Linked DNA regions of Lepisosteus oculatus. The protein of the gene in region 2 purifies or fractionates together with the protein of the main gene of each other region. This does not show direct contact. Links are inferred from orthologs where the notes say so. Each region holds a gene or a part of one and is shown on either strand. Other genes may lie near its edges. The genes, in order: ppp2cab, serine/threonine-protein phosphatase 2A 55 kDa regulatory subunit B beta isoform and cct7.

Evidence for each region.
Region 1: the proteins of serine/threonine-protein phosphatase 2A 55 kDa regulatory subunit B beta isoform (region 2) and ppp2cab purify together in Homo sapiens (affinity purification with mass spectrometry; 6 studies listed by BioGRID and IntAct, counting the BioPlex papers as one, with this or other methods). This does not show direct contact. The link is inferred for Lepisosteus oculatus from reciprocal best matches to the Homo sapiens genes PPP2R2C and PPP2CA.
Region 3: the proteins of serine/threonine-protein phosphatase 2A 55 kDa regulatory subunit B beta isoform (region 2) and cct7 purify together in Homo sapiens (affinity purification with mass spectrometry; 4 studies listed by BioGRID and IntAct, counting the BioPlex papers as one, with this or other methods). This does not show direct contact. The link is inferred for Lepisosteus oculatus from reciprocal best matches to the Homo sapiens genes PPP2R2C and CCT7.

Annotation. Positions count from the first base shown.
Region 1 is NC_090706.1:23,921,957-23,929,344, reverse strand, and holds the start of ppp2cab (serine/threonine-protein phosphatase 2A catalytic subunit alpha isoform), read right to left. Parts: upstream 3,926-7,388; 5' UTR 3,691-3,925; coding exon 3,589-3,690; intron 1-3,588. UniProt on the Homo sapiens protein: Catalytic subunit of protein phosphatase 2A (PP2A), a serine/threonine phosphatase involved in the regulation of a wide variety of enzymes, signal transduction pathways, and cellular events.
Region 2 is NC_090696.1:42,686,221-42,693,608, forward strand, and holds the start of serine/threonine-protein phosphatase 2A 55 kDa regulatory subunit B beta isoform, read left to right. Parts: upstream 1-3,325; 5' UTR 3,326-3,996; coding exon of another isoform or gene 3,997-4,066; intron 4,067-7,388. UniProt on the Homo sapiens protein: The B regulatory subunit might modulate substrate selectivity and catalytic activity, and might also direct the localization of the catalytic enzyme to a particular subcellular compartment.
Region 3 is NC_090699.1:10,570,103-10,577,490, forward strand, and holds the start of cct7 (T-complex protein 1 subunit eta), read left to right. Parts: upstream 1-2,236; 5' UTR 2,237-2,336; coding exon 2,337-2,342; intron 2,343-3,960; coding exon 3,961-4,114; intron 4,115-5,266; coding exon 5,267-5,373; intron 5,374-5,787; coding exon 5,788-5,913; intron 5,914-6,505; coding exon 6,506-6,558; intron 6,559-7,100; coding exon 7,101-7,272; intron 7,273-7,388. UniProt on the Homo sapiens protein: Component of the chaperonin-containing T-complex (TRiC), a molecular chaperone complex that assists the folding of actin, tubulin and other proteins upon ATP hydrolysis.

The DNA.
Region 1 (7,388 bases), on a different chromosome or scaffold from region 2:
GTTGCTTCACGTTGCAATTTGCACAAACTTGCTCTCATCCATGGTGAAACCAGGGCTGTACACAACACGGCGATAACACAGTACTTTCACCAAGTTCACAATTTGATAACAATTTGAATTTTGATAACATTAATTTCCAAGATTTACTAACCAGCCTGAGAAATTGGGACTGCAGTCCCCTTTTAAGGTAAAAGTCCTATTATTTATTCCCATTATCCTGTCTCAGAGATCTGTAATTGTTCAGTGTTACCTGGGCATGTTTCCTCTGAGAAAGACCTTGTTTGATAGGTGACCAAGTTCCTTATGTATCAACCAACCATGGGTTATTTCAGCACATCCAAGAATAACTATTTTTTCCTAAACAGAGAACAAGTTTCTTAGAACAAGTAGTACACTGCTGAAAGAACTGGTCAACAGCTTATCTTTGCCAGCTTACCCTGAAGACCTATATGAAGCTTAACTATTAAACATGCAATCAGAGTACAAGAAATTGAAATACCTGGGTAAATGAGGGACATCAAGTAGACGGAAGCACATCTCATTTGTTAATTAGGCAAATAACACCACAGCATATTTAGGATCATGTATAAAAGTGCTGGACAGGCCAGGTTGCCAAGTTAAGTATGATTGGACTGTCTACAAGAAGAGATCTAAGTGAATTTGAAAAGGCCGCAATGTATAGTGTCTACACCCAGAAGGCTGTCTTCCGGGATGATAAATGCCCCCATCCACAGACCATGTGCAGTTTTAATGAACATGACACTACTGTCATCCATATATCATGGCCTTCTCAGTCACCATATCTGAGCCCAACCAAGCATTTATGGGAAATTCTGAGACAGCATTTTCCACCTCCATCAACCAATTTCACGGTCTTGTGGAAGAATGGTTCTGCACAAACTTCCTGCAGAATTCCAGAAGCAAGCAGACTCAATGCCATGGAGCATAAAGGTGGTACTGGCCACTCATGGTGGCTTAACATGTTATTAAGTAACTTTACATAGTTATTTCCATTTTTCCCTACATATACAATAGCAATATATGAACTTAAAAAAATGTACTTTAGTCTAAGGTCCAAACCCAAATTTGTTGTCTAATTTTATAGCTACACATTGACTCTCCCTTGATAAAAAATGCAAGGGAAATAATTCTTTACTACATACCATGTTCTGGGAAGGGTAATTTTAAAAGACATTTTAAAGAAATGCCTTGTGCTGACAGTTAACTTTGACCCAGAACTAGACATTTAACTTTCACAAAAGTCACCTTACATGAAATCACCCACCTACAAAACCACTGAATCTCACTTGAAAGAGTACATGATAATAGCCAATAATAAGTATTTTAGCACTTTGTTTACATTGATGTTCCTCTGTGAAAGTAACTTAGATTAATTTGTAATCTCATGAATCTCATTAGTTTACCAGGAAGAAAGCACACAGCTTAAGAGCACTTTTCTTTTGATTTGGTACAGGAGTCTTTTGACAAGATACAAAATGTAAACCCAGAAGTTACTATATATAGTGGGAGTCCTCCCTATAGTCCACACAGACCTGCTTCCAAAACAGTTCATTTTTAACGTCTGGCAGTGTATGAAAAAGATTAACAATAAACGATCCCCTTTCAGTACTAACCATGATGCAGCCAAACCTAGTCTGGCCTACTCATTAGGAAATCCTCCATCCTCATCATTGTGTACATTAACATAACATTATGTTTTTTGACTATGGGTGGAAACTGGAGCAGCCGAAGGAAACCCACACAAACACAAGGAGAACATACAAACTCCATAGAGATAGAAGCTCAGGTCCAGAATTGAACCAAGGGCCTGAGCGCTGCAATGCTAACCACTGTGCCATCATGCCAAGACATAATACAACAAGCTTAATTTGCATTAAACCTGTACCAGATGCCAAGTTCAACTCTCCTCTCATTGAGCTTTGCCTCCGCGACTTGGGTGCATTTAACAAATAGAGCCATGCTCCACAAGGAATGCTTAGAAATGTCACTATCTGGGTAATAAGAACACAGAATTCCAATTTAGAGGAACATTCACTTGAAACTAAGTTTATAGTTCTTCTCGATATATATAATTGAAACAACAAAACATTTGTGAAAGTCCTGTGTACAAAAAATAGTTAAAAATATATCAAAGATTCAAGACACTTAACTGACTGACAGCTCACTGGAAATGAAAACCAGAAGAGACAGGAGTACTTCAGGATCAGGGATGGAAAACGACTCTCAAGGGTCCAAAAACCTTATGGGTAACTTTACTGTAACAATGCACAACCTAAACAGAGGGCACACCTGCACACATGAAGAAGGTTTCACAGTCAAACGTTGTGTTTTCGCTCTTCAGCATGGAATAAACCTATTACTTGTTCCTTTGCATGCTGACGCAGCTACCCACCAAGACAGGGGTCTTGTTTCGTTTAGTGGCGCTTCTTTCGGCTGTCCCCTTTATTCTGTCACAGTGATCATCACTTCATAACTCTCACATTTGAGAACAGCCCTACAAAACGTTGAGTTGTTTTACATACTAAAGAGCAGATCTTGACCACTACTACATATAAACTTAAAATACAAATGAAAAAAATAAAATCCATAATTTTACTATTTAATCTAGACAAAATACCAATCATTATTAATATACCTCTATTGAATTTAAAATCACCAAGGGCTAAAGGCGAGCTAATTCAACTTCCATGTGAGGCTACACTTAAGTCAGAAGTTGCCACTGTAAGCGTTGTTTTAAAAGTAAACACTACTCTGCCTTTCAGTACTTAAAAATATTCTGAGCAAGAAACAAAGCAAGGAAAGTTAAGAAAGAACGCCAGCTTCTAAAAACCACCGCTACAGCATTACACCGGAATACGGCGGCTCATCAAAAACAAAATACCTTAATAAACTGGGCCGAGGTCTCGTTGCTCGAATTTAGGGAACCTAGACAAAGTGCTTATCTGATAAAAACGCATAACTACTACGATAAATAGAGATCGTTTTTCGTATAGCTACGTTACCGGACAACACAGTTAGCCTGCACGGCTTTCGGAGTCTGCTATGTGTAACTATCGGCGCCATTTTAGGAATGTACTACAGCCCATCGCAAAAAGCAATCGGAAAGCGACGCATTCAATTTAACGCCGAATTTCACCGCTACAAACAATTCAGTGCCAAGATGTCCGCAGGCAGTTCGAAATATTAATCATTTAAACTACCTTTCTCCGGCAGCAGTGCTGTTTTTTCTATTTTAAAAGAAGTTCCTAAGTCAATGCATTTAACCTATATATCTTGCACCTTCAGAGCTGCTGCAGGCTTTAGATTAAGGTCTATTTCTCAGCTCAGTACTCTTGAATTATAAACTGTTAAATGCTTGAAATACCGCTTCAAATGAGCTTTTACGAATAATACCTCATTCATTTGAATCGGTAACCAATGGCAATCCACTCCGCCATCTTAACAAGCCGGTATATGCAGGGCAAGAGAGGACCCGCTCGAAACCCTCGACACCGTCCCGTCCATACACCTTTCCACCAGTTAAGATGGACATATTTCTGTGTTGTACTGAAGAAAGACAATAATTACCTTTTCGCAGAGAGTCTTGACTTGGCTTTCCGAAAGCTGCTTGCACTCGTTGAGTTGCTCAATCCATTGATCAAGTTCCTTCGTGAACGCCTTTTCGTCCATTTCTGAACGTTACCCTAAAAAAGATTAAGTATAAAACAGAAACGAAAAAAATAAAACGCCCTGCCCTATTGTTTTACAAACCCCGTTTACTCTGCGAGGGAAGGGAAAGACTCAGTCCCGGCAAGTGGGAATTATAATTATTAACTGAAGCAGATAAAAAAAGAAATACGAAGACGTCAGTCAACCGCTTTCCCACCCCTGCCTCTCCGGCTGCCTAATGGCCGTCCTGACGTCACGAACGACGCTGATCACTTCCGGTCCCAAAAGGAAGCAAACACAGTCCGCCTAAAACCGCACTGGGAGTGTGGTAAGCCTGTCTGCAGCGCTGTTGTGGGCAATGTTGCTGGTTTTGAGTACCGTGTTACACCCATACGCGCCATTCTTTGGAGGTGTTATAGCTCGGCTATCCGAAATACTGTAGCTGTTATAAAATAGATTGAATGCTATAGTCAGTACAGAAATACATGTACATTTACACTGTAAAATAATACACGTTTAGAAGGATAATGCCCTGTGTAAAAAACAGAGAATGTAATCTTAAAACAATAATATGTCATTTTATGTAGGACATTTAAAAGCAAACATTTAAAGCCCTTCACTCTATATAATTAGCACATCACAATTAAAATTGTGGAGCTCAATATGAAAGCAAATAAACAAGCACAAAAATCCTTTTTGAAAAAGATAACTTGCTGCTTACGATTTCAACAAAAAGCAGGGTTTTGACTGACAACGTCCTAATCCCCCTTATTCGCTTGAAAATCGGTCATGGCTTGTGAATGTTTTTTAAATCTTCTACAATCCATGAGTGTCAGACATTCGTTCTGAAGACAAGTTTCCATTCAATGTTAAAATGGATGTAATGGATGTAATGTTTCATTTTAATTATTATGTTAATCACCAAGACAATGATGTGTACAGCCGTCTTATACTGTTATAAGACATTTGTGTTAATGAATACGGTTGTATTTGAAGAAGGCTGCTTCAATATTAAGATATGAATTCAGTCTAGGTCCCAGATAGGCTTTTTCTTTTTACGCATTTAATGTGCGTCTTCAATTCTAAGGACTATTTCCTTTTTTTTTTTTCAAATTACCTGTTTTACTTCAAGTTACATTGATGGATTCCTATCACAATGTGCTGAATATAGAAGGACAGAAGACTATTTACCCAGCACCTGTAGAATGGTTGCCTTTACAAGGTGTAAAACATGCTGACATGCTGTTGAACTTTGGCTGTCAGCTGTAATTTGCTTGCATAACCTAGTTATTGGTCTATTACTGTTGTCATGTCTTACACGTTTCACGTTTACATCCGAAGGGTTGCAAAATATTTATATTTGAGAGTGAAAAAGTGCCTTTTAGAATATTTAAGCATTTGTCAAGTAAGTCAAGAAATAACAAAAAGGGAAAAAAGTACAGCCGTTTTGTTTCATGTGCTAAGCTTACTGTCCTAATATTGTTGAGTCTGTTTTGTATTACTTCCCTGCCCAATTGAGAGCTATGGTTAAGAGACGTTATGGCATCAGATGTACCAGCTTAGATTTTGTTGTTTTGTCCTGGTTGCATGATTATACGCAGCATTCCTGCCATAAATACAAAGTGGCTTGCTGTTGATTGTGTATCTTGTCACCTTCATAAATGCTGATGCTTACAGTAGGTCTGCCAGTTTCCAATTTATATGTGCGGAAAATTAAAAACCACACACATATATATATATACTGTACACAGTATCTTGCAATTATATTAATTTGCAATGAAATTAATAGGTCACACCATAAAGTAAGATATCTGAGAAAATTATATGGATTTTTCTGAGTATTAATATGTGATAGAAATATCTACATTTAAAAAGCTTTTGTAAGAGGATCTTCTGCAAATACATGTGCATTAGTAGTCACATTTATAGTTACCTTTATTTCACAGTAGAACACAAACAATGTGATCTTTAAATAGTCCAGTCACAATGACCATGTCACAGTGAGAAACCACAGCATTTCTCTCTGGTAACAGTGGTTCTGTTGGATGAAGTCATTTATTTAGAGCTTTTTTTAAAGTCTGGCCAGGTGACCACAACAATTAAAGCATTGACATTTCCCATGGAGATGAAGTCATTTATTATTCCTGTAAATAGCTGCCAAGAAAATAAATTTTGCTAGACTTCTTCACTGCAACATGAATCAGCAGGTTAAATACTAAAGAAAAACAAAGAACATTCCCATTTCTTTAAAAAGAGTGCCACAGCAGTAAATGACCTAATGGTGTACAAAAAAGAAGCAATCTAATTATTCATATTTTTAAGCATGGGATTATATTTATTTACATGAACATTATGTGAGCAAGGAAAATGATAAATTATTTGAAAAAAAGATTGAAGAAAAAAGATAGGAGCATTACTAAATGGCTCTGTGATTCTCTGCATATGTTAATATTGTATGAAAAACTTTATACAAAAAATACTGATCAGGACTATTTATTTTAACAATCAGTAATTAATCATCCATTAATCAATTTTCTAACCGCTTCTTCGAATTCAGGGTCTGGGGAGCTGGAGCCTATTCTAGCAGGCAACAGGCACAAGGCAGGGTACACCCTGGATGGGACACCAGTCCATCACAGGTCATACACTGACACCTAGTGCCAGTTTTCCCAGAAGCAAATTAACCTTCCTGTATGTTTTAGGACTATGGTAGGAAACCCACACTGACGCAGTGTATACATTCAAACACCAAGCAGATAGTACCCCAGGTCTGGAATTGAACCCAGGGCCATAGTGCTGTAGGGAAGTGATGATAACCACTGCACTACTGTGTGGCCCATTAATCATTTTTATTGTATTGGCCATTGAGGGGACCACTGGGCTAACTATTATTTATAGTTAGAACTATTATCAAGCACAACCAGCAAGATAAGCAGTTTCACATTTTGAAACTATGTTAATGTGATATGGATATGTTTAACGAGGGAAGGTCACGGGTTCGATCCCTGTATGGCCCAGGCAAACTCCTTCTCTAGGGGTGGAGCGGTGGAACTGTGGCTAAGGATCTGCGTCTGTAGCTGGAAGTTTGCCGGTTCAAATCACGCGGCCAGCAGAGATATCCTATACCATTGGGCCCCTGAGCAAAGCCCTTAACCCCAGCCGCTCCAGGGGCGCTGTATAAATGGCTGACCCTGCGCTCTGATCCCAAGCTTCTCTCTCCTGGTCTGTGTGCCTCTGTGTCTCATGAAGAGCAAGCTGGGGTATGTGAAAAGATGAATTCCTAATGCAAGAAATTGTATTTGGCTAATATTGACAAAATGCCTTTTAGACACATGTGGCGTAATTTTTAGCACTGCTGCCTTACAGTTCTTGGGTTCTGGCTTCAATCCTGGATTTGAACCCCATACCTGTGGAGATTGTTCTTCCAAAGCCTGCATGGGATTTCTGCAGGTACTCTGGTTTCCTCCCAGCCCCCCAGCAACATGCTTCCTAGGTTAATGGGTGCCCCCAAAGTGGATATGTGTGCTCCATATTGTATTGGTGTCCCAGCACATATGTAGCCCTGCCTTGTGTTTCTGAGATGAGCTCCAGGGTGCCATGACCCTCACCAACAATGGATTCATGGGTGGTCCCATTGGAAGTCTTTTCCAGAGTACACAAGTACAATATATGCAGAAAAGCCACAAAGCAATTTAACTTAACTGTTCTGAACTCAACAG
Region 2 (7,388 bases):
GCCAATGTACATAAAACTTTAGAAAGAATTATACAACCTATATGAATTTGAGAGTGGAAGAGGAAAGTCCTTGATATCAGTGCGTGGCATCCTGCAAGCCAAATCTTCAGCAACATCTAGAAACAAGATGCACTTGGCACATAATGATTAGGTTAATTGAGGCTCACAGTATTGACTGGCAATGCTGTGTTAGAGTTTGTATGGACAGTGCCAGAGTTAAGTTAGGACAACACAGCAGTGTGGTAGTTCGTATATACAAAGTTGTTCCCAAAATAAAAAGGACTCGCTGGTGCACCCATCGAGCGGCCTTGGCAGGCTGTGTTAGACAGTGCAGTGAAAGTGGTGTGTCTCTTTAAAGCAAGGCCTGTGAATTTGCTAATTCTAAGTGTCCTCTTCAGTGAAATGGGTAGTAGCAGTACACGGCTCCTGCTGCACTTGGAAGCAAAGGGGCTCACACCGTTATTTAAATTGCCTTTGGAAGTTCAGGTGTTTCTGCAAGAGCATCAGATCTCAATTTCAAAATGCTTTGTGCTTTGAGAATCCTGTCTGGCTATCACAACTGGCATAGGTGAAGAATCTAGGGCTACTGGGACCCTGTTTGAGTTTTAGATGTGGGTGTCAAGATTAATGCCATAGTGGGGGAAAAAGCAGCAATTGATTGAAATAAAAATGCAGACAGGCACTGTTTCTGCTCTCTCTACGGTGTTACCTTCCAGGTTTTTACTGTAAATGAGACGTTGATCTCACTTGACTTATCTGGGTTAATAAAGGTTTATTTATGCTAAAACATTTATAAATCTAAAGGTCTATTCACCAGCAACCTTCCCGCCACATTGCTTTACTAAAGGAGTCGACAATGGCTTTGTTTAGAAATGCCAGAAAAAATCATTTAAAGTCAGTAATGTGCTTACATTGCATGTCTAATGCAGCTTCTGCTACTGAATTGTTTTATTAATTTCTTTGAAGTCTGGTTCATAACTTGTGCAGGCTTTGTTAGTCTTGAGAGGAGATAGTTTTGAATGGAGGTTACCTGTTCACACACACAGGGGCCAGGCATCATTTACAGACTAAAACCAACATTGCACATTGTGTTACATGTATACGAAAGTTCCAAGTTCATATAATCCGTCCAGTCAGTCCATTTGTGCAGGTTTGCCTGTTCTGAGAATTGACAAGCAAAGCTTTCCAAGCTTGAATTAAGGAAGGGAACTTTTCATCCCGTTTCCAGCTTCTTAGCATCTGCAACTACTAGCTCTAAATCTCTAGAGGAAATGTCCAGAATGACATTCAAGCCCAGTGCTTCCACTGGGTCTACATGGGAGGTGAATCATGACCTTGAACAATGAGCTTTCTGTACAAGCCTACATAATGTGACTTGAATGACAGTAGATCAGGTGTAAGACACACTAGCTTTGTAAACTAGGCTTGTTGCAGGGATACTGTACTAAGCAAGAATCTTGACATAGTCGCAGTGTCTCAAAGTGAATGAGTCTGCCAGTATAGAAGTCTTCTGAAGTACACTTTCAATTTGTATTCAAATACAAAAGCTGCTTGGTGCAGACAGGATGATGTTTCCTTGACTTTGAAGTTTATCAGTCAGTGGGGCTGAAATGACCTAAATGTACACAAAATAACCTGAGAAGTCAATCATAGTCTGAGTTCAGGAGGCACCTTTCGTTTCTTGAACTGTTTAATGCAAACGCCAAAGCAAGCTAAAACATCACCTCAGGACCGCCAGCTTTCATTGCTGTTCATCAAAAGTCCTGGATACTCACAACCCTTCTACTGTTTGTCAATATCAATATGATCAGCTATTTATATCATGAACATTCTGCAGGTAAAGACCATATCTGCTACAAGTTTTTGTCTTCTTGGGAGAATTTGCCAAATAGCTCTTAGCTATGTTAAGCATACATATCTTCACCTATTCACCATCTGTAAAAGGCTAAAAGGTGACCACACCAGTACTTTGACCCACTTTTGTAAAAAAAAATATTTACAATGAGAGCAGGCTATTTGCCACAGCTAGTTCAGTTATTTATTTCTGAGAAATCTTTTTTTTTAAACGCTAAAGTTATTTTTTTTGTTTGCAGTCCCTTCTGACTGAAAAGAATGCTAACTCATCGTTTTATTTAATTTTGCCATTTTAAGTAGCTTTACACTCGGCCCGATTCAAGATTGGAGGATGATATTGAAAAATAAATACAACTGTTTATACACAGCTAAAGATTTCAGATGACAAATTACCTAAAAAATTACTTGTCCCATTGAAACACAGATTTAGGAATAAAATCAATAAGAATACCAGAAAATGGGTGGATATAAAATAACATCACTATTTCTGTTATTTGTTAGTCTATGTTTTACGTAACTTTAAATGTTTGGGAATTTGTGATAACTTTGTTACTTATGAGAGCTACTGTATATCTAGTTTGTAGAACAGTCACATATAGGTCACAATCCATAGGATACTGATCTTGTTTTACTACATTATCAGAATAGCTTCTTTGAGTTCATTAATGGAAACACTAATCCTTAGAAATTCTTTCGTTGCAATTAACATCTGTGTTACTGAAAATCTACTGCCACATTCCTTATTACTGCTCTATTTCATAATGGCACATGCATGGATCCCTTTGAAATCTCTTGGAACTGTAATTTTTATATTTGTAAAAGGCCTTAATAAGATGTTTATTAATTGTTTTTTTGTGCTTTTGGTTTGAAGCCTAGTGGAATCCTCGGGTATATCTCTGTAGAGAGTTAGGCTGAATTATTTCCAACACCATTAAGGGATTACTGTTAGTCATATTTTCTGGACTCTTTGTTGGTGAAAACTAGTCCATTACTCTTCTTCACACAGTGACACTAGACTCTATGAGGCTGGAGACTCCTTCATTTAGGAGACTCAGATTAATGTGCATCATCTTCCTGGCAGTTGTTTACAAACCAGTGCTACAGACGTTCTCTTTTAGTATTCTTATCCACTGGAAAGGAGGTATATTTCTTATCTGCCTATATTTCTATATTGTAATCATAAAGGATTTGAGCCATATGACATGTCACTTTCAGCAGCTGGTATCAGTTGGGGGCTACTGCTGCAGCCTTACAGTAATTAAAGGCAGAATCTTTGAAACATTTGTTGTTTTGCTGCAGTAGGAGAAGTAACGTGATGTATTTCAAAGCAGAGCTGCACAGAGAGTTTTCCCCTCTGCTTCTCCTGCCTCCCAGAGTGCAGCTTTAATCACCTGCAGTCTCTGGAAATGCAGATCATGGCTAGCTGCTCATAGGCTAAGCTGGGAGGAGCCTACTCTGATGCAGCAGAGGCCTATGACAGCAGTAGCAGTGGCAGGCAGCAGCAGCAGTACTCACACTCGCTTCTCTCTCTCGCTCTTTCTCCTCTCACGCGCGCGCATGCACACACACGCACACCGTTTCACACTGCACCAGCAAGCCTGCAAGCAAACAAGCAGCCACACTCATTACCCTCTCCTTCCAGCACAAATCCTTTGAGATCCTGCTGCAGCAAGCACGAGGAGCCAGCTCTGCATGGGGGCTTGTTTAAGGAGTACCTGACTAAAAGGACTAGCGTGTTTCTTCAAACCACAGGAGTGCTGCTGCAGCTCTATAGAGTTGGGGGGGGGAAGCCACAGAAGGGACCATCTCCTGTTTTCTTCTTCTATTTTTTTCTTGCCAGTTTGCTGTACCAGCTAAGCTTTTTATGCCTTCTGTGTGAGTGGGTGTGAGGGGTGCGGGGGTTGTGTGTGTGTGTGTATGTGTGTTGTCCCCCAATTTTTCTCTTCCTCTCCTTCAAACATCTCAGCTGCACCACAAGTCTGTGCCGCATCTCGTCTTTTGGCTCTCATTATGCTATCCTCTGAACCCCTGGCAGTTCTCCGCCTCTGCTAGGCAGTGGCAGCATGGATGGTGCTCTTGTGAGGAAGCCTACGGATTCGATTAGTCCACTGCGGATGGGCATGCTGAGTAATCCTGCTGTAAATGGGCGAGGACATTGACACCCGAAAAATCAACCACAGCTTTCTCCGAGACCACAACTATGTGACTGAAGGTAGTGTTGCATGTGTTTTCTAATGCTCGCTTAAATGAGAAGCTGCTTGCTAGCTGAGATTATTATATACTAATGTATGCGTTTAGGTTATTTTAAACTTTGAAATCAGATGTTTCCTATAAGGATTTTTTTGCTTGTTCTTAGCAATGGGTAGCAGCCGTATTCTAGTTTATTCTGCACATTACTTAGAAACCTGACCTGCATCTCCCTAACGTCTAATTAGCTGTACAGATAAGAGGTCTTCACCAGCAGTAAATATCTGACGAACTTTTCAGAGGAACAGAGAATCCATCCTTTTTGCCTGTAGTGACATTGCTGATCCAGTGCACCAGAAGAATAAACGATTTGTATAAAGGTGTGCGAATTCATCAGGTGGACTCCTTGTTGGAGATGATTATTCATTTATTTTTAGCTCAGCTGCTCCTCTAATTAGAATGATCGAAAATCACAGATGCACTTGATGAAGGGTGTATCTCAGTTGATTACTAATAATGAAAACCAGAGAAAAATGATTTGTTCAATCACCTACAAATAATATTTATGGAAAGCATAAAATCTCTCTGACAGTGCAAGATTCTCTGTTGCTGTGGCCTCCACTATTTTCTACTGTAGGGTACAATTATAATTTTAAATGGACATTCTTAGATCCTGTAGATGCTGAATGCTGTGTGAATGATTTATAACAGAATGAGTTGTGCTATCAGTGGCAATTCAGCTAGCATATTTCACTGTATTTACTCATGGGGATCTCTTTTGGCACACAGGTGTATTGCTTAGTTTTTATATTTTTATCATGCGTACCATTTTTGTAGTTAGTCGTGACGTGTAGGATTAGCAACCCCAAGGCTGTGTTTTTAGTTGGTTTTATGACTTATGTCACCCTTAGTATAAGAGTGTACAATTATCTGTTTGATTCTGTAAGCTGTTAGATGATGAAGGTTGAACGCTGGCAGGAAAATGTATGTACTGTAGAAGCAGTTTTTCCTTTTTTCAGATGCAGTGTAATAGCTTTTGCTACAAATGCTGCAGATTAAGGGCCTTAGATCTTGTGATTTCAGTGGCAGCCAGCAGGTTCCGTTTATTCCACTTTAATGAACACATAACGGCTAACAGGGAGTCTAAATCTGGTAAATGGTGCTAGATGCAATAATTGGTGATCTTAATTTAAAATAACAAGCCAAGAAAAAGCAAGACCAAAACATTTAAATGTTTGTGGGAGGGAGTTTAACATTGGAATGCCTGCCAAGGGTTTTATCTCGGAGAAAAATGATGTAGTGAGTCAGCAAAAAACGGGAATTCTGCAAACTGTTCTCTCCAGTTGGTGCATGAACAAGGTGAGGCTTCATTTACAGTCTCAGAGAGTCGAGCATGACTGTTAACCAGGCTAAATGTATTCAGAAAAATGTGGCCAGCCAGGAAATTGGAGTTTAAGGAAAGAAAAACATATGCTATGTTGTAGACTCATAATCTATATAATGTAGTATATGTGAAGTACAGAAACATGCTACCACATATATGATTTCTAATGTAGCTTACAGGAGTCAGCCCCATGAGAACATTTATAATTACGTTTTTGACCCCAGCTTGTCATGTAATATTGGATACCCAGCCTGAAAGTGACCTTTTGTTTGCAAGTATTGACTGAACTATAATTTCTGAAATGGATTCTTAAATTATGTTTTGGGTCTGCCTTTTTTTAGGCTAAAAAAGATCCTATTCGGTTCATTTTAGTACAATGTAAACCATATAATTGAGCAATTTCTCACATTTATTTGTTGATTTATTAAAGTGTTGCTCATGCACTGATTACACTGGAATTCATAACAGTTTTCAAGCTCCTAGAACTTTAAGCAGGCCTTAATTTTAATCTCAAACCATGAAAATAGACCTTTTGAATCAATGTGGGGAAAATACTGTTACATTGCTTTTCTCCCCAAGTGCTAAATATTTAATGTTAATGCAGGTACCGTATGTTTACGAATTTGTCGATGGCAGTACCATTTAAGAATCTAAGCAAAACAGTGTGAGGAATCTTTACAGGTATTAGTTATATGGGAGTCCTGAAGCAAGATTAAATATGGGCTTCAAGACTTTTTTTTCCATTTTTTTAGTAGTGCTTGTTGAATTGGTAAAAGTATATGTAGAAGTTAATTCTACAATAAAGACATGTAAAGAAAAAGTTTCAACTGTGGGGATTTTGTTAGGGGTGTGGGAGGAAGTAAGGAAGCAGGATTAGGAAGCAAAGAGTTTGGCGTGTTTGGTAAGGATAATAAAGGAAGGAGGCTCTGAGGGAGGGCACGTCAGGCGAAGTGTCCAGACAAACGGAATGCTGGGAGATGGATTCCAGGAGCTGTGTGATGAGCTGAAACCTGTAAATGAGTGAACATGTTTAAAGAGAACTTACTCAAGCATTGAGAGATGGTGCGGAATTGCTACAGTTTAGAGAGGTAAAATGGGGGAACTATAGACATATTGACTCCTCTGATCCTCAGTTCTCTAACAGTCAAACTGTCAGTCGTTGTAGTTCTTTTGCAGATGTAAATGCCAGTGGAAGGGATGCAATAAATAAGATTGTTGGACAAGCATGATGCTCTCTGGCTGATTGTAAAATGGACAATTATGGCCTTGTGTATGCATACTAGTGGATATGTATATTTTTAGGTGTTTCAGGTGAATCAATAAGGCACAAGACAAGAAGGCTTATTAGATTAGGTGGTCATTGCTGTGCAGTGATTTGATGGGCCAGAAAAAAAAATTCTAGCTGGGGAGTCATCAAATAAAATAGAGAAGTTTGATTTGATGAAGCAAGGAATCGAAAGGAGGTTAGGCTGGAAGAGACAGACCCGCGGAGTGCTTGGCATTTGTAGAACGGAAACTCCTCTTTGAGGAACGTGGTAGTCGGAAGGCAGGTTTTGGTTGGGCCCTGACAGAAATGTAAAGGATATTCCCTGTCAATTCAAGAAGAGCACATTTTAAAGGCTTGGTTTTGGAAGTCAGCCTTCCATCCATCCATTCAATCATTTTCAAAGTGCTTCGTCCAATTCAGAGTTGCACAGGAGCCAGAGCCTATCCCGACGAGCAACGGGTGCAAGGCAGGATACACCCTGGATGTGACAACAGTCCATTGCAGGGGGGACAGACCAAAGAGTGCACCCACTAATATCAGAGCTAATTTTCCCAGAAGCCAATTAAGTGACCTATGTGTCATTAGACTGTGGGAAGAAACTGTAACACCTGAAGGAAACCTACAGTATGTGAACACATGGAGAACATACATACTCAACACAGAATTGAACCCAGGACCCCAGTGCTGTGAGACAGC
Region 3 (7,388 bases), on a different chromosome or scaffold from region 2:
TACCTGGATGGAAGTCTCCTGGGAAAGCTAAGGCTGCTGCTGGAAGAGGTGTTAGTGGACCAGTAGGGGGCGCTCACCCTGTGGCCTGTGTGGTTCCTAATGCCCCAGTACAGTGACGGGGACACTAGACTGTAAACAGGTACTGTCCTTCATGTGAGCTGTAAAACCAAGATCTTCACTCTCCATGGTCATTAAAAATCCCAGAGTGTTTCTACCTTGCCTTTATCAATCATGGCCTCCTAATAATCCCCCTATCTGAACTGGCTTCATCACTCTGCTCTCCTCCCCACTGAGAGCTGGTGTGTGGTGAGAGTACTGGAGCATCATCCAGGTGGGGCTGCACACTGGTGGTGGAGGGGATCCTTCTTACCTGTAAAGCGCTTTGAGTGGAGAGTCCAGAAAAGCACCAGATAAGTGTAAGCAATTATTATTATTCCTACATTCATTCACTCATTAGTCCACTTGATGGTGAGAGTTACACTACAGTCACCTATTCCACTGTAAATAAGAGCAGATTTCACTAAGATCGGATATAACAATCTCTGGCACGTTTCTGAGCATTAATAGTTAAAAATAATCCCTCCACCACCAGTGTGCAGCCCCACCTGGATGATGCTCCAGTACTCTCCCCACACACCGGCTCTCAGTGGGGAGGAGAGCAGAGTGATGAAGCCAGTTCAGAGAGGGGGGTTATTAGGAGGCCATGATTGGTAAAGGAGATTGAGAAATGCCCAGGGATTTTTAATGGCCACAGAGAGTCAGGACCTCGGTTTTAAATCTCATCCAAAGCAAGATGGCCTTTTTACAGTATAGTGTCCACTCTGTATATTGTATAGTGTATTCAATACTTATATTGTAGTGAGAAACAGGTGAAGGTTAGTTCCAAACTGAAAAGAAAAACATTTCGGCTGTGGAGCCTTCTTCAGGTGGGGCTTCATCAGGCCTTCCTCACACCAGAAGAAGGCTCCACAGCCGAAACGTTGTGTTTCTTCTCTTCTCAGCAGGGAATGTTCCTTTGCAGCCTGCACATGCTGTCGCAGCTACCCTGCTTGCAGTGGGAAATCCATATTCACGCCCCTAAGGACACTGTCCCCATATGACTTGTAATTCAACACTCTAGTGTTGCTAAGATAGCTGTCTGAGATTCCTCAGTGAGTGGGGCAGTGGGTAGCATCGCTGTTGCGCAGTGCTGGGGCCCTGGGTTTAATTCCGGACCCGGGGTGCTGTCTGTGTGGAGTTTGCATGTTCCCCCGTCATTTATGTTGGAGTTTTCTCCCACTGTCCAAAAACGCATAGTCTTCCCCGTGATGGACAGGCATGGTGTCTTGTGCCCATAGCCTGCTGGGATATGCTCTGGCTCCCCTGAGCCCCTGACTAGAATAATCGCTTTGAAAATGGAGGAAAACCTCACAGACACGGTATTCTAAACTTTCGGGGAGCCCAATATTCCGGTCCTTTATTTGTAGAAGCATCTTTCATTTTTTTCATCACTGCGATGTCGAGCCCCCTTACAACCAGATTTCTCTAGAACATAGCAATGGTTAATTATTGCATGGACCTACGTGTTCCCTTTTTTTAGTTATCTCCTCCTAGGTCAACAAGCTACCCAGTGAAGAAAAAAACCAAACATCTGCGCTATGAATACCAGCAAGTCCAGCTTCCTGGTGTGTTTTTGTGTGGTCGCTATTGTTATCGCTATCCCGAGTTCAGAGGGATCTTCTAAATATAAAAGCGCATCTGTCCTTATCTTTAAATTCAACCCTGAATTCCTATCTTTATGCCTTGCGTTTGAGTTATTGTTTATTGCACTTTTTCAGGCTTTTTCCACCCAATAATGTAATAATAATAATAATAATAATAATAATAATAATAATAATAATAATAATAATAATATATCCGTTCTTTTCGATATTTATCGGTGTTGGTTTTGTATTAAGTTTGTTTTATTGTACTAATCATTACTTTCATCGTATATCAGTCTAATTTAATGCTTTTTGCACCGTTATTTGTTTTTGTTTTTTACAGTTCGTGGTTTATTTTCGATAAACTGTAACTCGGACTAAAGCGTCCGTTAAGATCAAGGAAGACAGTGCAGCGCCCATTCAAGGCGCTCAAGCCTTAACTCCACCCCCTCCCACAACCCTCGCACCGCCCTCTCTCGAACAGCCCAATCACACACAGGCTTCATCCCGAACCACGCCCACGGAGGAGGTGTGCGTCGCCCAGTAAGGCCAAGGCGTTGGTACTACGCCCCTCCCTCTTGCTGGAAACTTCCTCCGTCGAGGTGCATTGTGGGAGCTTCCGACCGGCTTGAGCGTAGCGACAGAGCCGACAAGATGATGGTGAGTGAATGGATTTACCCTCCCTTTGCAACCCGCTTTCATCCATCTGTCACCCATCTCTAGAATATCGAACCGCACGGGTGGTTCGACGAAGCAGACCCCCTTCTCTTAAGAACCGGCAGTATCGGTCGTGGAAGAAGGATGATCGCGTTCAATTTGTTTGTTTGGATTTCTCGTGGTTACGGTCTCCGTCTCTTTCAGTGGGGGTGCTGCCTTGTCATTGTCGCTCGACTCAGAAGCGCCGCTGGCTGAAACAGAAAAGCTGCTTGTTTGTTGAAAACCGTGTTTGTCTTTTTTGTTCCGGGATCGGAGTCCCATGTGTTACCGCGGGTTTCCCGTCTTTAATCGTGTTGTGGGAGAGAGAAATGCACCGATTCGCCGCGCCAGTCCTCTGACAGTCTTCGGTAGGCCTGAGACATGACAGTTTGGGCCCTGTTGAACTACTGTCTCTAGTTACGGTAAAAAAAAAACAAAACCGAACCTTTATCAAAGGAGGTTTCTGTCTGTGTGTTTCAGTCCAGCCCTCCGTGTGCTGAACCGTGTGCACAGTAACCGATTACAGTACCGAGGGAGGGGCTGAAGTGCTCTCCTTTTGTGCAGTGTTGAATATTTTGCCTAAAAAAATCATTGAAGTCTCCTGGTTTGGTGCAGCTGCAGTTTTTTTTTAATTCTGCAAAATAAGTGATGGACAATGGCTGTTCCCCTCCTTGAGGGGGTCCCCCCCCCTAGTCCCAGGGAGCCCCAATCCAGCTATTCGTTTAGGTCACCCTAAATCGCCCGGTGAAAGCTATTGATGTTTTTGTCCCTAGTGATCTCCACCTGACTTAATTGAACACATTGCCTGTTGAGTTGATGGCAGTTAACTTCCAGTATTTATGGACTTCAGAGATGAGACTTCATAGAGACTGATTTAAAGGCAAGAGTGTGGCTCTACAGGACCAGCCCTGGACTGGCTGGATCAGGGCTAGAGAACCCCCCTGGGCTGTAACAGTAGTTCTAATGATCTTATTTCAGAGGCCTCTGGAGACACTACCTCCTCACAACAGGGAGCTGTGCCTTTCTGCCTGCCTCAAATAGAATAAAAAGAGCTCTCTCCTTTATTCTTTGTGTGCCATCAAGTCCCAGGTGTGGCCAGTAGGTCACCTCGTGCTTGGTGCAGAATATCACAAGAAGTGTTCACCTCCTTCTTGCTGAAATATCGCTGCTGGTGTCTGTTGCTAGGTTACAGCACAGGGCTGGTTCCAGTCCCATCACTGGAGAAAACCTTAGTAATGTCCTCGGGAGGAAGTCACAAGATGGATCCGGATTGGCAATCGATGCAGCTCCCATAGAAAAGAGATTGTTGCACCAAGGCTACAGTGATTGCAGAAATATTCAGTTGAATGCTTTGTATTCTTCCCCACAGGCTTGTCTTTTTCTCTCTTCCTAATCTGCATAATGCAAAGCAAGTCTTCGCTGCTCTGCAGCAGGGAATTACAAACATACACAGTCTTAATGTTGGTGTAGTCCTGTTACGCTTCAGCACTTTGGTGAGGTTCCATTGTCGTGCTCGGCGAGTTTGGCCGCAGTGGGGTTCTGGCAAGTCGCCGTGGTGACAGTCCCCCCTCTTGCTCCGCAGCCCACACCAGTGATCCTGCTGAAAGAGGGGACGGACACCTCCCAGGGCGTCCCCCAGCTCGTCAGCAACATCAACGCCTGCCAGGTCATCTCCGAGGCCGTGCGCACCACCCTGGGGCCACGCGGCATGGACAAGCTCATGGTGGACAGCAGAGGTGAGCCCCGCCGCCTGCTCTCGGGGCAATGGCCAGAGGGAGACCCCCCCCTAGCCCGTTTGACAGTGATCCGAGGGTCTCTTACCCTGGCTGCCTCCAAGAGGTGCTCGTGTTGATAACGTGGCTAGACAGCTTGTTCTGCACTCCTACCACCCTTTGTGTAAACAAGTGCCTCCCATCCCGCCTGGACAATCTCTTTTAGCTGTGTCTTGAAAGAAGCCAGGTTATTGGCTTGAACAACATGGCTAGACAGCTTGTTCCACACTCCTACCACCCTTTGTGTAAAGAAGCCCCCCCCCCCCCCCCCCTCCCCCCTCAGTTTTCAATGCTGTTCCCTGAAAATTTCACTGGTGTCCGCTGGGTTGCCATTGTCAGGGCCCTTAAGGGTTGTATCAGGTCCCCTAATTGTTCTGTTCTGTACTTGAAAGGCTCGGCTTCATCAGCCTGTCGTGTACAACTTCTTGAGCCCCTGAAAATAGCTGATCTTGTCATTTTCTGTTCTGTGGAGCGCCTTAATTCTAGCATTCTTATCACTCCCACTCCACGTCGTCCTTAGAAGTGATGAGGCACGAGCTTGTGTACCGTTATGCACCCAAGTGGCAATGGGCTCCTGTCCTGCTCATCTCACATGAATAGATCATATACTAAAGATAGTATTCTGCAATAAAATAGCAAAGTAACTTGTGGATTAACTAGACTGTTTTAATCAAATTAAAACCAAGATTCAGATATCGAAAGTTAAGTGCTGCACAGCCATAACTATTTTCTTGTACTTTTGAATCCATATCTGTTTAAAATTTTATCTGTTCTTATTTCTGATGGCTTTAGGTGACCAAGGTATTGCCTTATGCAGCGTAGACCACTGTCTGAAATAATAAACCTGTATTGAAACAGAAATGCATCCTGTCCAGATCAAGTCCACGCAGGGTGGAGATCTGAGCTGCACACTTCTCTGTTGGCGGCTTCAGGGTGACGACGCCAGTTTGCATGCGGAGAAACTGTTCAGTGTGTCTTGCCTGGCTGTGAGGAACGTGCACTGCAGCAGTCCTGGCCCAGAAATCGTATTTCTGAGTGTTCTTCCAGTAGGTCATGTGGGGCTAGCTGGTAGCAGCTGGCTAACGGTATCCCGTGATATTTTTCTTCCTCCTGTAGGGAAAGCTACCATCTCCAATGACGGCGCCACCATTCTGAAGCTCCTGGATGTGGTTCACCCAGCCGCCAAGACCCTGGTGGACATCGCCAAGTCCCAGGATGCCGAGGTGAGTGTCCGTCGAACGCCTCCCTGTTGACCCTACGAGGTCCGGGAGTTGGTCTGTGTTCAGAGACTCAAGCAGTCTCCCTCTGGGTGGGCTAGCAAGAAGCGAAGGTGGGCTACTTTTTAAACAAAGCTCTGTGACAGTTCCCTGCATTTCAGAAAACATGCACAGGTTGGTTCCACGCTGAAAAGCAAAGAGAACAGACACAAGGTTTTGGCCATTGAGCGTCCTACAGAGCAGCAGAAGTCACAATGGTTTAATTTAATCATAAATAGCCCTGTCGTGTGATCCCAGCTCGCCTTTTCGTGCTGCGTGCAGACTTCGGAAACGATCTAGATCAAAAGCCGGTGCTTTGTCAGCTTTACTTCTCCTCCTCTTGCTCCCCCGGCGCTCCTGACTCGGTCCCTGTCTCTCCAGGTGGGCGACGGCACGACCTCTGTGACCCTGCTGGCAGCGGAGTTCCTGAAGCAGGTGAAGTCCTACGTGGAGGAGGGGCTGCACCCCCAGATCATCATCCGTGCCTTCCGCACCGCCACCCAGCTGGTACGTGCCCCCACCCCACCCCCTTCCAGAGACTTTCCCACTGCTTCTGGAGGGGGCTTTCCCTCTCAGCCTGGTGGGGTTCGTTCTGGAGCTCAAACCTCCATGTGACCAGTAAGGGGCGCTGAGGAGCAGGTCGTGACTCTCCAGGCGTTTTCAGTTTAATCAGTTCATCAGGACCTGGGATCTCTTCCCTCGCTCCTGGGGGCCCCCCGATCCAGTTTCCAAGACTGGCGACACCACCTTGTTTGTGCATTCAGGGTGTGAGCTGCTCAGTTGAGAGGCCTGGTAGTTGCACAGGCTGGTTTGAAATGGGCTCTTAAATTGCCCTCAGCTGAAATTGAGGACCGCAAAGCTGTTACATGTGTCTGATGCTGGAGACCTCTGTCCTAGACCTACACGGTGGCTTGAGCTGCCCTTTTCAGCCCTGCAAAAGGTCCGAGTTGGTATCTGTGGCTGAAGGAAGCAGGAGCACGTGTTGGTAGAATGTGGGAATCGCTAGTATAAGAGCTGATGTCTCCTGCTGTACCGCCTGCTAGACTTGTTGGCCAGACCGTGCTCTGAACTCTGAAGGCTTGTCTTTTTCTCTCTTCAGGCTGTGAAAAAGACCGAAGAAATCGCCGTCACTGTGAAGAAAGATGATAAGCAGTGAGTTTCGTTTATTTCCAGATTGCACTCAGGGGCTCTCTCTGAACTGATTCCAAACAGTCAGAGTGGATTAAGAGCCCTGCAGCAGCAGTTCTAATTTGAGATTAAGTTTCGGAAACTTCCAGTTTCCAGTTGAGTCCTAACCACTCCTCGCCACTGCCGATTTCACCTAGACCAGTCTCGTCTGGGGGGGTGACCTGAGTTTTCCATTCAGCAGAACCAGGCCGGGGACATTTCCTCGCTGAACAACAGGCTAACAGGCCCGTCAGCGCAGAAACCCTTTTCTTCTCTCTAATGCGGTTAAAACTCACATGGAGATGGAACGCGGCCAGTAACTAGCACAGATGGCTTTTTTGTGCCATGATTGCTAGAGCCAACAGAAACGATTGTTTTTCTGAAACCCGTGCTCTACGAAGGCGGCTCGTCTCGTCCCCTCTGTGAGGGATGAGGAAAGATGACCGGGGGGACCTGCTGCCCTCATCTGACCTGACCCAACACTGTGGGCTCATCCCTGCGCCTGTCTGTCTCTGTCTGTCCCGCAGGGAGCAGAGGAGCTTGCTGGAGAAGTGCGCCTCCACCGCGCTGAACTCCAAGCTGATCGCCATCCAGAAGGAGTTCTTCTCCAAGATGGTGGTGGACGCCGTGATGCTGCTGGACGACCTTCTGCCCCTGAAAATGATCGGTGTGAAGAAGGTGCAGGGGGGTGCTCTCGAGGTGAGTCCCGGAGTGAGGTTGGGGTTTTAAATTTCTGCGGGCTAGTACTTGTAGCAGAGGTGGTTTAGAAAAGCACTTGGGAGTCTGCGTTGCCTTTACCACCACTTGATTCAACT